Linked DNA regions of Astyanax mexicanus. The protein of the gene in region 2 interacts with the protein of the main gene of each other region in a pairwise test. Links are inferred from orthologs where the notes say so. Each region holds a gene or a part of one and is shown on either strand. Other genes may lie near its edges.

Evidence for each region.
Region 1: the proteins of sgtb (region 2) and serpine1 interact in binary tests that used the Homo sapiens proteins (3 or more experiments, as listed by UniProt). The two-hybrid records come from large-scale screens. The link is inferred for Astyanax mexicanus from reciprocal best matches to the Homo sapiens genes SGTB and SERPINE1.

The regions. Positions count from the first base shown.
Region 1 is NC_064415.1:25,930,216-25,937,139, forward strand, and holds the start of serpine1 (plasminogen activator inhibitor 1), read right to left. Parts: upstream 3,008-6,924; 5' UTR 2,902-3,007; intron 1,936-2,901; 5' UTR 1,935-1,935; coding exon 1,694-1,934; intron 1,590-1,693; coding exon 1,365-1,589; intron 1,052-1,364; coding exon 857-1,051; intron 494-856; coding exon 295-493; intron 185-294; coding exon 84-184; intron 1-83. UniProt on the Homo sapiens protein: Serine protease inhibitor. Inhibits TMPRSS7. Is a primary inhibitor of tissue-type plasminogen activator (PLAT) and urokinase-type plasminogen activator (PLAU).
Region 2 is NC_064427.1:22,893,119-22,900,924, reverse strand, and holds the start of sgtb (small glutamine-rich tetratricopeptide repeat-containing protein beta), read left to right. Parts: upstream 1-4,844; 5' UTR 4,845-4,867; intron 4,868-6,472; coding exon of another isoform or gene 6,473-6,729; intron 6,730-7,806. Other genes in the region: nln (neurolysin, mitochondrial), read right to left, coding at 2,476-2,580, 4,696-4,844, 6,473-6,729. UniProt on the Homo sapiens protein: Co-chaperone that binds directly to HSC70 and HSP70 and regulates their ATPase activity.

The DNA of each region.
Region 1 (6,924 bases), on a different chromosome or scaffold from region 2:
TAAAACAATACTTTATTCCATTCACTCTCAACAACTCCAGAGGTCTTTATAGACATAAAATATGTGTACTTGCATATACTTACTAGTAATGCGTGAGAAATCTGCCTTGGACTGGCTGAAGATGTCTCCAAGCCCCAGTTTGCTCAGTGTTGACTTCAAATCGACTTCTGTGTCAATGGAAAACCTGGACATAACATTGACGCAAACTTGTATTAGACTCTAAATAATCAGAATTAACAATCAGAATCCAAAAAATAGTAAATGTCAGTAAAATAAAGGTTTTATTCTCTTTACCTGGGCAGCACCAGCTGGCGGTTGACCTTCTTTATGTTCTTTCTCCACTCCTGGACCTTGCTGCCACTCAGCTCTTTGATGAGGGCAGACAGCGGCATGTCCTTTTCGAATGAAGACACCAGGAGCATGCTCATTGAGTCTCCTTCATAGGGTACCTCAATAACATCGTAATCAACACCTTCCTTCGTCACAAACTCACCTGGAGGATGAGACAGGCAATATTTAAAACAATGGCAATAGCTGTATAAATATTAGAGCTTATATATCAATGTATTTCTTAATCATTCATTCATTCATTCATCCAATAATCATTACTAAGGCTGGACTGATATAAAATATTAGCTTAAATAATGTTTTTGGCCAAAAAAATTACACTGCAATTGTTTTGATAAACAAAGATTTTCTGACTAAATTAGAATTTAAGTTTCATTATGAAAAAAAATAAACAGCATTATAAGGATCAACAGGAATTCTGCAAGTAAATTCATGAAACCTTAAAATAAGCCAATTTAATTGGTCACACCCAAAACATTACATTACACTAATTCCATTACATTCTCACCGTAGTTAAATTTATTGGTGGTTCTCATCATTGGCACTGGCAGTGTGCTACCATTAGGACCATGGAACATCATCTCCATGGTCAGGCTGGGGTCGAAGGGTGTCATCCAGAGGCCGTGAAAGTGAAGCGCGTTTAACAGCACCAAGCGAGTCTGCTGACTCAGAAGTCCGGACGGCAGGAAGTTTGGAATCATGCCTGAGAGAAGAGAGAGGGCAGAGTTCAGGACTTGTTCAGTAGCACGTGAGATCTCCACATGTACACAGTGTACTCTGACATAATCTTTCAAACGGAACCATTTAATCATAAAAACAAGACAAACAAAAGATTCTAATAAGGTAGAGTTAATCATCACACTCTGAAAAATGAAAGGCTGGTTTCAATTTAATTACAATTGACAAATAACATCAAAAAACACATTATAAAAAAATTATCTAAATTCATTATCATTTATAATTGCACAAACACATACACAGTCTCACACAAAAGGAAAAAAAAAGCACACACACACCTCCGGTTCTGTCTGACGTCCAGGCGTTGATGACCTGCTGGGCAGTCTTTGGCTTGCTAAAGTCCACCTGGTGAGGGACACTCTGAAATGCTTTTGTAAGGCTGCGTCGGAAGGGCTTCTCCAACATCAGCTTTCTGTCCACCATGACGCCACTAGCCACCTCCACTCCGTGTTCACTGGACAGGTCTCTGTGAAGAAGCCTCTGTTGTCGTGGCATTCCACGATCTGGAGAAAGTACAGAAATTATAGGTTTCTATATAATTCTTGGATTGGAATCAGGGAAAATCCATTTATTTGGTGCATAAAAACAATTTTCCCTCCATTCTTACCTTGCAGAGAATAGCCCATGTGCTCTTTGAGTGTCTTTAGAGTGCTGCCATAAGCTCCCAGCTGGACCATTCCCATCACGGAGGAGATGCCGTAGGGTGACATGGCAAAGTTTTCATCTTGATGGGAGTGAGCAGCTTCTGAGAACAGCCGCAGTCCAAAATCCGTCTGCTGCTTCTGCAGGAAGGTGCCCATCGCTGACCCATAAAAGGCAAGGGTCATCAGTACACAGAGTGTCTGCATTCTGCATAAGGAGAGAATGGATAAGAATATGAAATCTAGACATACTGTTTGAGTAACATGCTGAATTAATCAGTTAATTCATGAATAAATGAACCACAATGAGTAAATGAATGAATGAATGAACATGTGGTACTACTACACTATATTTAGTGCCTTAAGCTGTACTGGAATCAACAGCATAATTCACCCATATCTAATGTGGCGCTTCCTGTCCTTTAATCCTGTCCTTGGCATCTGCTACAATCACCGTTTTAAGCTATTAAACTCCCTCACAACCAAAAGTGGTTGACGCCAGTAGCCATCACACTCAGACAGACCTGAAGGAGCTCATAAGTGTGTCTGAAAGGCACGTATTCTTCTCTATGTACTTAAACACCCACAATGTAAATTCAGTGCTGCTGTTCCTAAATGCTTACCTTGAGTCACCTTTCCATCTCTCTGCAGGTCTATTCACGAATCCGCTAAAATGAACACACCTAGCTACGTGACCTATTCCGACAATTACCAAGCTTTGTAAAACCAAGATTTTGTACATTATTATATATCTATATTATAAAATCAGTTGCAATACACTGGCATATTTTAACATGGCAAGTTAAATAGCCTTAAACTCAAGTGGCTTTTTATATGGAAAGTCTACATGGAGTCAACAACAACTGCGTCAACTATTGTCACAATACTTTTTGAAGAAATTTTAGTGGAGGTAATCTCTTGACAAAGCCAATACAGTACCCCTAGCTCTAAAACATAAGTCCTTGATCTGTAGCCTAAATTTGGATTTTTAATTTTAAGGTGACTTGAATATAAAACTACAAGACAAAGTTCAAAAATAAAAAATACAAGAAAAGATTTTACTCTACAAGTTTGACAACACAATTATCCCCATATAACATTTTCTACACAATGAAAATCAAGCCTAAAAAAAACAACTTTTGTCCAAAAAGTGCAAGCAAACCATAACCCATACCTGAAAGTCTGGAAGTAGTAGTCTCAGTGGATCTAAGCTTGTAGATGTGCCTTCTCCTTGTGCCTATCCAGCATGGACTGAACGAGCAATTGCCTCTCTTCTCTTTTTAAAGAACTCAGGACCCAGAACCCCTCCCCCTAAATGCGGAACGGAAGTTATGAAGTCATCTCTGTCTGCTTTTCCAGCCTGAGCCACCCCTACTCCTGCGCTCTGTTTCACACAGACACACACACACACACACACACACACACACACACTCACACTCAAACACGATTTTCTCTCTTCTTCAACAGACTCAACTAAACCGAGTCATGCTGTTCCCCCCAGGGAGCTCCGCTGCTGACTTTGACAGGATTTGGCAGCAGTTTAGACTCAGTGAACGCTCTGAGAGTGTTTGCTAATTAAATTACAAACCCACTCACTCACCCACGCACTGTGTTACACTACACACTAATATAGCCTCAGTGCCCCAGTGCGAGACTAGTGAAAATAGATGGGTCTGGTTTTAATAAAAATGCAGAGTTTTATAATAACAATGAAATGCTCTGTCTAAACAAAGTGGGGGATATTAATGATCTAGGTCTACTCTGTCCATAGGGTGCTGTTGGTTTGGATATTTTTTGTTTATGTAGTGATGCATACACCACTCATACTTTCTGAGTTGACTACTTAAACCACATCAAACTATATCATACATAACTTGTTTAAAAAGGCACTGACCATTGCCAAATTCATATAGAAATTGTACAATTATTTTAAATATGTTTATTTTTACACATTCTTTAATTTTTATTTTTTATTACTACTAATATATTTTTATTATTTTATTTTTTATTACACTTTACATTTGTTTATACAGTACCAGTTAAAGGTTTGGACACACCTTCTTTTTCCAACATTGTAAATGAATACTGAAGTCATTCAGACTATGAAGGAACACATGAGGAATCATTTAGTAACTTAAAAGTGTTAAACGAACCAAAATACTCTGTGAACCATTTAGGTGCTCTTTTCTGGCATGATGTTAACTTATCCTGTAAAACAGAGGTAACTCTTGGTCTTACCTTCCTGGGGCTGTCCTGATGAGGGCCAGTTTCATCATAATGTTTTTGATAGTCTTTGCGACTGCACTTGAGGGTACTTTTGGAGTTCTTGGAATATTTTTTAAAGGATTTTTTGTTTTCTTAGTTGAGTAGTTCCTGCCATAATATGGATTGGAACATTACTTAAATAGCATCATTCACTGTATACCAACTGTTTGCCTCTTCACAACTTTACAACTGATGCTCTTAAACACATTAAAGAGGGCACAGATCTTACAAATATCATTCATTTAAACTCTATTTTTTTAAATAACCTCTAATATGCTTCTAAAATTAGCAATTGACCAACTGGTTATTTCCATATTAATCTGTCTGTGACATTTATAGAATAATACTTATCTTAACTCCACCTGCTCCTCTTGTGTTATCTGTTTCTGACAATAGGAGGATGGCTTCTCCCTTTGACTCTTCTTTTTTTGGCTCTGGTTGAGTTTTCCAATGTCTCATCCTTGGCTTGCTCATTAGAGGCATGAACCCGGAACCCCTAATGAGAAGAGGACCTGAAAGGAAACACAACCAAAATCCTTTCTTCTTATGTGGCCTAATCAAGAACATCAGTCAAAGCCAAAATTCACCAGTGGGCCCCTCTGGTGAAAATGACACATCACACTGCCATATTTGGAACTACAGATCCAGCATTCCATGGGGCATGCTCACGGACTGAGCTGCATGCCCCAAGTTCTACAGATGACTGAGCGTCTGGCGACAGAGAGACGAGAGTAAAAGGAGGAATATAAAAGAGGGAGAGCGGCTGTGTTTCACATTTACACCAGCCGGCTATGATACGATGATATCAACATGCCTCATATGACTCGATATGTCTGTACCTGAAGATGCAGAAAGAAGATAAAATGTATAAAGGAAACATTACATTAAAATAAAGACTTTTTAAGCTATTATTTTTCATTGTTTAATGAAAGATACTAATTTGGAATTGATTTTTCATCAATATTTTAAGGATTGTACCATAAACATTACCAAAAAGCTTCCTTTAACAGTCCTAACAGTTTTATAAATCAACTTTAAAATATTTTAGAACATTTACGTGATGTGATGGTTTCTTTAAATCTTAAATCTCCTTAAATTGAATGTCTTAAATGTTCACACAGCTTTTTAAGATTCATACACTTTTGAGTTATTAGAAAACCAACATGTTTTTTTTTTTCCTGTGCCATATATACTAGTTAGATTTTGCTATGCACTGTAGAACAGTATACATTGAAGTTACATCATGTGGTGGTTATCTACTGGACTATCATGTGGTGGTTATCTACTTTTTTGCTTTTTGGTACCTGGTTTCTGGTTAATTTTCCTTTAACACACCTCCCCCTGCAATGTTTTTCGCAACTCTCAATGTATAATTATGTCAGCCACCAATCCAAATATATATTTTTATCCTTTTCTAAAGATAACAGCATAATTTTACAAACTGCCATTGCGAGACAGATAAAAACAAATGTGATTGCTAATGTTGCTTGGAAATTTTGTGCTGCTAGATATCTGCATTGCGCAGTTTAGAGTGAATGTTCTCTCTGGCCAAATCAGCACACATATTTTTTTAATATATCACAGTTTAGTCCCTACTCAGCTCGCTTGAAACCACAAGCATGCAGGAGTAAAAGCACTAACTTTCAGGTATCAGGTACCAGATTTGCCCAAAAGATAAACCAGGTAGTCAAGTCAAGGGCTGCAGTTTATACACAGCATCCAGCGAGTTGTAAAAAGAGGCACTCATCGTATTATGCACAACAACCGGGGTTTTGGCACAAGCTTCTTGAGCCAACAGTTGTATTATACACAGGAACCGTTGTTTGAGACAAGCTCCTCTGATAGATTGCTGTATTATACTCAGCAGCCGGGTATTGGCACAAGTGGTGCAGACCGATTGCTGTATTATAATCAGCAATCAAGCTATACAGTCCAATTAACATATTATAATTGACAATCACAGTGTTGACACAAGCAATATGGTCCAATTGCCATATTATACGCAGCAACCAGGGTGCTGACACAAGCAATATAGGTAGTTTTTTTTTATTATATATAGCTTATGAATATATTTATTCAGCTCTTCTCCCTTTTATCGAATTGTAACCACGTGCTGGAAGATTTATTAGGGTATCAAATACGGATCTTCAGGAGATTTACTTTAATGAGCTCTTTTTTTAAAAAACTTTTTGTAAGAGTAAAACTGTATGTGTACTGTATGGAGGGCATGGTGACACACTGTAGTGTTGGAACAGCACTAATTTTACTCTTAGATTAAAGAGGTTTAGTAACTTCAGTAAACGTGTCCCACTTTTATTGGAATCTCTGTTTATAAAAAGTCTGCCAGCATGATGACAGAACACTTAGGAGAGACTAGACACTCAAGTGACAAAACAGAGCCAATATAATTACGAAGGTATGAGGTCATGGTCTATTACATGTTGGTGTTTCATTAGCGTCTAATTGTTTGTCTCAGTTTTTATATTACTAGAATCCCACAACAATGTCACAGAAAGTAATTATTTTCTGGTCTATTTGTCATTTGCAACATGTATAAGGCATGTGCATATGAGTTTATCTCATTCGGTCTCCATTCATGAAGCCATTAGGCTAATTTTAGCATCTGCAGTCATCACTGCCCACCTCCTCCACTGAGTTTGCTACATTCCATATGGAGTGAATGGAAAAATATGGAACCACAGATTCAGACCCCAGTGGTACGCCCACCTGATTCACATTTCAGATGCACATGGGAACTCCCTTTAGCTGGAGGAGGACTCATCTTATCCATGGCAACCGACCAAGGCTGCTTTGGAAAATCTATTAAACTAAACCGCAGTTTGGGTTCAGCGAAGAGCCTTTATGCAACACTGCTCTGTTGCTTGTTTGTCTCCAGCTTTACCACTTCATATAACTATGTGATACATGGCCT
Region 2 (7,806 bases):
AACTGTAATTCTTAAAAAAAAATAATAATAAATTCAAGTCAAACAAGCGCTGGTTGTTAATCTGCACAGATTTCTCTCCTGAAAACTGTTTATTTGGATGAGTAAAGATCTAAGATTTCCAGATTTCCACTAAGGCTGGGTGCAGCAGCTTTAGCGTTAGCCATGGTTAGCGCTTGTAAATGCCTCCTGACAGCGGTACACTGAGGAACCCTGATTGTTCTGGTAAGATGATATTAGCTATCGGTTTGTCCCATGTAGTTTGTATTAACACAGTAAACATGCAGGCTACAGTTTGATATACTCACCTTTGAACGGTGAAAGGGCTAACTCTTAGCGCTTAGGTTAGTGGCTAATGCTAATTCTGCTCCAGCAGTGCTAGTCGGGGTTTGCAACAGGCTACATGCTGATAATACTCACCTCTGAACGGCGAAAGAGATAGCACTTAGCACCTTATAGTGCGAAAAATATTTTATGTTGCACCCATTGCTAACACAGCTTGACATGCCTTGTCAAAAGAATAGGACACGCCTACCACCATTAAGCTGTGAAGCCTGGCCAAACTGATGCTCATGACATGGAAGAAAGAGAGAATGAGAGTGTCCCAGTACTTTTGTCCATCTATAGAGTGTATTAAAAGGTGCAAGGGGGGGTTGAATGCATTCAGCGACAAGAATATTAGTGAGGACAGGATGTTGGATGATCACCACCTGCTCCACCTCATCGTCAACTCCAAAACTCATCCCAAAAATACCACACAACAGATCCACTGCTCCACAGCTCAATGCTGGGGTTCAGATATGTCTCTCTAGCCCGCACTTGGCATTAGACACGGTGCCAACAGGATCATGTTTATCTTCGTCCTTATGTATTGGCAGTACTTCTCTACAGGGACTGTTTTAGCAATTGGTGCAACTTAAATGACAGGGGTTGGACAATGAAACTGAAACACCTGTCACTTTAGTGAGGGTGGTTTCATGGCTAAACTGGAGCAGCCTGGTGGCCAATCTATACTTTGCACATTGTAGCAGTAAGAGCAGAGTGTAAAGGTTCAATTAGCAGGGTAAGAGCACAGTTTTGCTCATTATGGGTGATATACCAGAGTTCAAAAGAGGACAAATTGTTGGTGCACGTCTTGCTGGCGTATCTGTGGCCAAGACAGCAAGTCTTTGTGATGTATCATGAGCCACGGTATCCAGGGTAATGTCAGCATACCACCAAGAAGGACCAACCACATCCAACAGGATTAACTGTGGATGCTGTAAGAGGAAGCTGTCTGAAAGGGATGTTCGGGTGTTAACCAGGATTGTTCCAAAAAACATAAAACCACGGCTGCTCAATTCACGGCAGAATTCAATGTGCACCTCAACTCCTGTTTCCACCAGAACTGTCCGTCGCCACAATAAATTATTGTGCTCTAAAACCAGGTGTTTCAGTTTCATTGTCCAACAATGTACAATGTACATTAGAAAAGGTGTCAATGAACCTACTGGACATATGCAGTACCAGTCAAAAGTTTGGACAAACCTTAAATTCAGTGTTTTTTCATTATTTTAAAATGTTATGCATTGTTGATTAAAACTAAAGTCATCCAAATGAGCAGAATCCCAGATTTTGTTTTATATTTTAGATTGTTTCACAGCTTTGCAAATCTTAGTATTTTCTCACCTGGAATTCAGGCTTTCAGTTAACAGCTGTGCTGAACTCGTAAAGAGTTAATTACTTGAATTTCTTGTCTCTTAGTAATGTGTTTGAGAGCATCAGTTGTGAAGTTGCGAAGAGGTAGAGTTGGTGTACAGTGAATAGCTCTATTAGAGTAATATTCTAATCCAAATTATGGCAAAAACTTCTTAACTAAGTAAAGAAAAAATACTTTAAGACAAGGTCAGTCAATCCAGCAAAAATCCAGAACTTTAAAGGAACTTCAAGTGCAGTTAAAAAGATCGTCTTAAATGTTCAGATAAAACTGGCCAGTGAAGGAAAGGAAGATCAGAGTTTCCTCTGTTGTACAGGATTAGTTTAATCAGAGTTACCAGCCTCAGAAACCACAAGTTACCAACCACCTCAATGCTTTAAAGATTATTTTGGTTTGTTTAACACTTTTAAGATACTTTTAATGTGTTCCTTCATAGCCTGGATGAATTAATTATTTGTTTTAATGTAGAAAAAAAATAAAATTGAAAAATTGATTGAGAAGTTGTGTCCAAACCTTTGAGTGATACTGTATGCTTTTAAAAATGTGTAGTATCTATTTAATGCCATCTCAAATCACAGAACAGGCAGTTAAAATTCAGTCAAATTTCACGTTTTTGTTTCAATTTTGCAATTAGATGGTTTGAGCTCTGTGGTTGTTAGATTCTGCTGTAGTGCAGAAAGATGCAACCCACTGCAACTAAATGTAACCCACTGCAAAAGTGTAAATTCATTTAGTGTTCATCTACAGCAAGAAACGGATCTATTTTACTATTATATACTCACTTCTTGTACTTGTGCAGACAGGTGCAGCCCATTCCGTCTCCCGAGTTTGATCCATCTCTCCATTAATCTTTTAGACTCTGGAGATAAACTGTTGGGTTGTCTTTCCTATAAATAAAGGAAATAAATACACACACAGACTGTTTTAGTCATTATATTAACTCTTCATACAAACTGCTGTGCTATCACTGTACACCCTGCCCTCCTCAGAGAATAGAGCTGAGCTTTTGTCAGGAAGCCAACCATGCTCCTCTCGCTGGAGTTACTGAGGTCAGATATTTCTCTGAGAGTGGAAACATTTCCAGCCCTTACAAACCCCAGTGACATTTGTTGGGCTGTTCATGAGAACTCAATTAAAAGGGCAGTAAATACCCAGGAGAGAGAATGCGATCTCATATCAAAGCACAGGGAAGCAGAGGGCATCTCATAACATAAACCACACACACACACAAAACGCTTCTGTTCTTATAGCAGCAGAGCTAACAGAGCATGAGACACACAGTATGTGTGTTTAGCTGTAGCTCTGCCAAGGTTATAGAGAGCTGTTAGATTTTATGCGTTATAAAACAGCAACAAACTATAAACTGCCTAAATACACCAATGCATGAAATGTACAGAAAGAAGTGAGAGAAGAAGAAAGAGTTGTTGGAATTAAATATAACTTTATATGTGCAAATATAATAATTATGTGTATGTAAGTGAAAACAATAGAAGAGTGAAAGGATAACGTATTTTTCACACTATAATGCGCACTTAAAATCCTTTAATTTAGAAAAAAAACTGACAGTATGCATTATGTATGAATTTTACCAGTCAGGTATTAAGCAGCAGTAAAGCCACTCTACTGAAGTGCAGCATTATACAGGAGTTTCAGTTTATTCCTCCAGCACTGAGGCTAAAGAAGTATTAGCATTAGCAGCTAACCATGCTAAATGCTAGCTCTTTCATCGTTCAGAGGTGAGTATCATCGTTCTGTAGTCTGCGCGTTTACCGTGTTAAAACAAGCTACGTGGGACGAACCGCTAGCTAATATCGCCCTGGCTTACCGGAAAACAGGTTTCCTCAGTGGCTAGCGCTAGTGGTTAGCTGCTAATGCTAATGCTGCTGCACACAGCCTTAAGAGGAAATCTGGAAATCTAAGCGTACTGTAAATAAATGAAAGTGCTTTACTCACCCAAATAAACCGTTTTCAGAAAAGAAACACAGTGCATGTTTGACCTTAAAATATATATTTTTAAAGAATTACAGTTTTGTTTACCTAAAGCTCCACTAGGTAGGATTGAGATTTTGTGCTCGTGGGCTCCCCCTACAGTTGTAGAGTGTAATAAATGTATCAGTCGGCTTAGTTTTACTGGCTTTCACAGACATATTCGGTCTCTTTCCAGGTTCTGTCAGAGTGTTTGTATGTTAGTTTGTAAAGAATGAACCAGTAGTCCTTGTAGAACTGTTAGAACTAAAGGTCTGAAAGCAGGTTGCAGTTCTCGCGAGCGTTGGTCGCGGCCGCCTCAGAAAACTTACAGAGTCTGGTTTGAGCTCAGAGAAGCTCCGGCACAGACACAAGAGCACCGCTATTCCTCCTATTACACCTCAATGCAGCGCTGCAGTGAGTTTCAAGCTGTAATTTTACTTCTTTAAAAATATAAAAAAATCAAGGAAATCCTACCTAGTGCTGCTTTAACTAAGCTAAGCTTTTGCTGGGTGGCGAGACCTGCTGAATTAGAAGAAAAACATGGCGACACCTTTGTTCCTTACTAGTGTCACATAATGCACCTTATAATCCGGTGCACCTTATAGTGCGAAAAAAACGGTATGTTTATTGGGGAAAACAATACAATGTGAACTGAAATGACACTATAGTACCCTGTTGGGCATCCGAAATAAATCTTTAGATCCTGAACAGTAGTAGGCTGCAGAAGCTGGCATCCCAGGTGGTCCAATAAATGCTTGGTTATCTATCTAAATACCATGCTTATCTGCTTTCCTATTGAATGTTTAAAAACTCTCATAAGGGCTGTATGGAACATAACAGATCTTTATACTGCATGTTAAACTCTCTGGATTCACCTGAAGGTTTATGATGAACCTCTGGAACACATCTGCCCTCATGCTCATCCCCATGTTGAACCCAAGTGAACCCCAGAGACACAGTTGGATTGTTCATAACAAGGTAATTAAAAGGGCAGTAAATTCCCTGGAGACTCACTTCAGCGTGTCTGCTCTTACCTGCAGGGCTACAAGCCTCTGGAACACGTCTGCTCTCATGCTCATCTCCACATCAAACTCCGACAGGCGCTTGTCAGCCTCAGTGCTTGCAGATCGCACCTCTTTGCACGGGGACACGTACTGCGGGAAGTCCAGCACATGGCGGGAAGCTGCAGACGCATCACTGAAGAAGGTTAGAACTATAATATACTACAATTCCACCATAATATAAATACTAAATAATAAATAATATAAATAGCACACTGTTGGGAGCTTCTAGCCTGGACACAAGATGAGATACGGTTGGATATAGGGGTTTAGAGGTATAGAGATTTCCCAACAGATGTTGCAGCTGGGCCTGTAGATCCTGCTCGGCAATCTCGTAGGTTGCTGAAGCTGGGATTCAATCTGCTGTTATAAATGCCTTGATTGGTTTACATTACATTATATTATAATTCGCGGACGCTTTTGTCCGAAGCGACTTGCAAATATTGATGTACATTTTTGAGATTAGAAGTAGTTAGTTTGTTAGAGGTGTTAGGAGAGTAGGTGCTCTTTGAAGAGCTCTGTCTTTAGGAGTTTCTTAAAGATAGCGAAAAATGCCCCTGCTCTGGTAGTAGAAGGGTAGAAGGTAGTCTGTTCCACCATTAGGGAACTATGTTTATCAGTATGGAGAAATATACTGTATTTTACGCACTATAAGGTGCACCATTTTCCACACTAGTAAGGAACAGGGGTGTCGCCATGTTTCACTTCTAATGGGCAAGCTGAACTGTAACTAATTCTTAAAAAAAAAAAAATCTTTTTAAAGTCAGACGAGCGCTGGATGTTAATCTACACAGATTTCACTCCTAAAAAAACTCTTTTTGGGTGAGTAAAGAACTTAAGTTCATTAATGGATAATTGGCAGCTAACGGCTAGCGCTAGCTATGGCTAATGGCTAATGCCGCTCGTCAGCGCTACACTGAGGAACCCTGATTGTCCTGGTAAGCCATGTATTTTAAGAACAGTTCTGTTTACACTAGTTAAAAGTAAAAATCCAACTGCCTGGACAGCTCTGCTGCGACTCAGCCAACAAAACCCCGGGGTGGATTTTTACTTTCTGGACCTTGAGTACCCACCTCAGTGTAAAGAACTAGGTTTACATAGGATCTCGGGTGGATTTGGCCAGGGCTCTATCAGCTAGCGATTTGTGCGACACAGTTTGTTTTTAACATGTTAAACACGCCGACTACAGTCTGATGTACTCACCTCTGAACGGTTAAAGAGCCAGCGCTGCGCTTATACTGCTCCAGCCTTGGTGCTGGAGAAACTTCAATGAAGCTCTTTTGTCTTTAATAACACTGTACTTCAGCAGAGTGGCTTTACTGCTGCTTACAACCTTACTGGTAGAATTTATACATAAAGTGCACCGGATTATATGGCGCATTGTCAATTTTGGGGGAAATTAAATTATTTTAGATAGATAGATACTTTATTGATCCCAGAGGGGAAATTTTGGAATAATTTCTTCTTAACCTTTTTGAGAGGTTTAGAATTTTACACACCTGGATTAGCTGAAGCAGCTCCAGCTCCCCAGATACCTATCTGGGACATTTGAAGGTCCATCAAGGGCCACCATCAGTCTTTCAAACTGACCTCAACATGCACTATGTAGGGTCAGCTTGTGACCAGGCTAAATTTGGCCTCTTCCATTAGGAGAGCCCAAATTTAAGTGTGCCTTATAGCGCGAAAGATATTTGTATATTGTATACTGTACAGCTCGACCAAATAGTGATTTTAATCTGTATCGACTCACCAGCGTAATCCAGTTTAGCATCTGCCAGGATTTGCAGAGTGTTGTCAGCACACACTTTACCAATCTCCACCGAACCAACCGAGTCGTAGGCTTGCTTTATCCGCTGGATCAGCCTCTCCGTCCTGTGTTTGATCTGCTCTGGGCTCAGATCCCATCTCAGATCGTTCCTGTTGTCAGCAGAGTTTGAACAGTTCCTGGATGAAACTTCCAATTCGTTCAGAAGGGTCATCCTGACTCTGGAGCTGCAGCGGAAAACTCTTTGGAGGAGGAGAAAAGAAATAGGAACAAGTGCAAGTAATGATAAAATGTCCTGCTTATTATATTAATGCCATAAAAAAAATCACAGACATCTGAGTATCTAATTTTAACAATCCAGGTCCACCTTGACCCTGAGTCTGTCTGGACTTATTCAACCCAATTACACTCAAACTGATTTCAACTCCACTGAGCGCAGCCCCCTAAACAGCCCTGGCTCTAAGTAGACCTGAAGCAAACCTGCCGAATCCAGCCGTGAGACGACAGAAGAGACGTCTTCAGATATTTTTAACCCTTAGACAAACAGATTGTAAACTCCTGAGGGCAGAAAGCCGAGCTCCTCGCAGCTGCACACGTACGAAGCCTGCTCACCTTCTCCTTTACCCTGAAAGCATGGCGAGGGGAACCTGATCCCTCCTTCCGAAACCTACAACGACCCACACATGGCTGTTAGATTATCGAGAGTTCATTTCAGAGGGCTGAGTTCGGCTTTGTATTCACAGCTTCCGATCCGTCTGGCCTCTCATTCACAGCTTCTGATTCACACCAGACACCAGAGCTGACCTGAGGGCATGCCCATAAAATGCCAATCACTCTTAAAGGTGCCAAAGAAGGCATTTATTGAGTGCTTTAAGTTGTTCTCTGGTGTATAAATAAATAAATAAGCAAGTCTGTGACTTTAGAGGCAGGGCTGAGCAATACTTCATCTTATTTTTTTATCATATAATAATGGATAAATTGCATTAGTAGCAGCAGATTCTTAAACATCATTTAAATACAGGAATTATTTTTATTCAACATGTGCTGCGCTTTATACAATTAAACTTAACTAAATATCCTCTCTGTAAAAAAAAGAGCAGCGTGTGAATACAGCATGATCAGTGTGAATTTTAGACATTGATGAAATATACAACAATATACTCACACCATATATTGTAATAACAAATTTATCGCAATACAAAGAATTAGTGTCTTATTGTCCAGGTCAGTGCAGTGTTCTATAGGAAGCTAAAACAAAAGATCTCTGGTGTTTTTTCATTTTAGCAAAACTTACAAAAAAAAAAATTCAAGGTCTATTT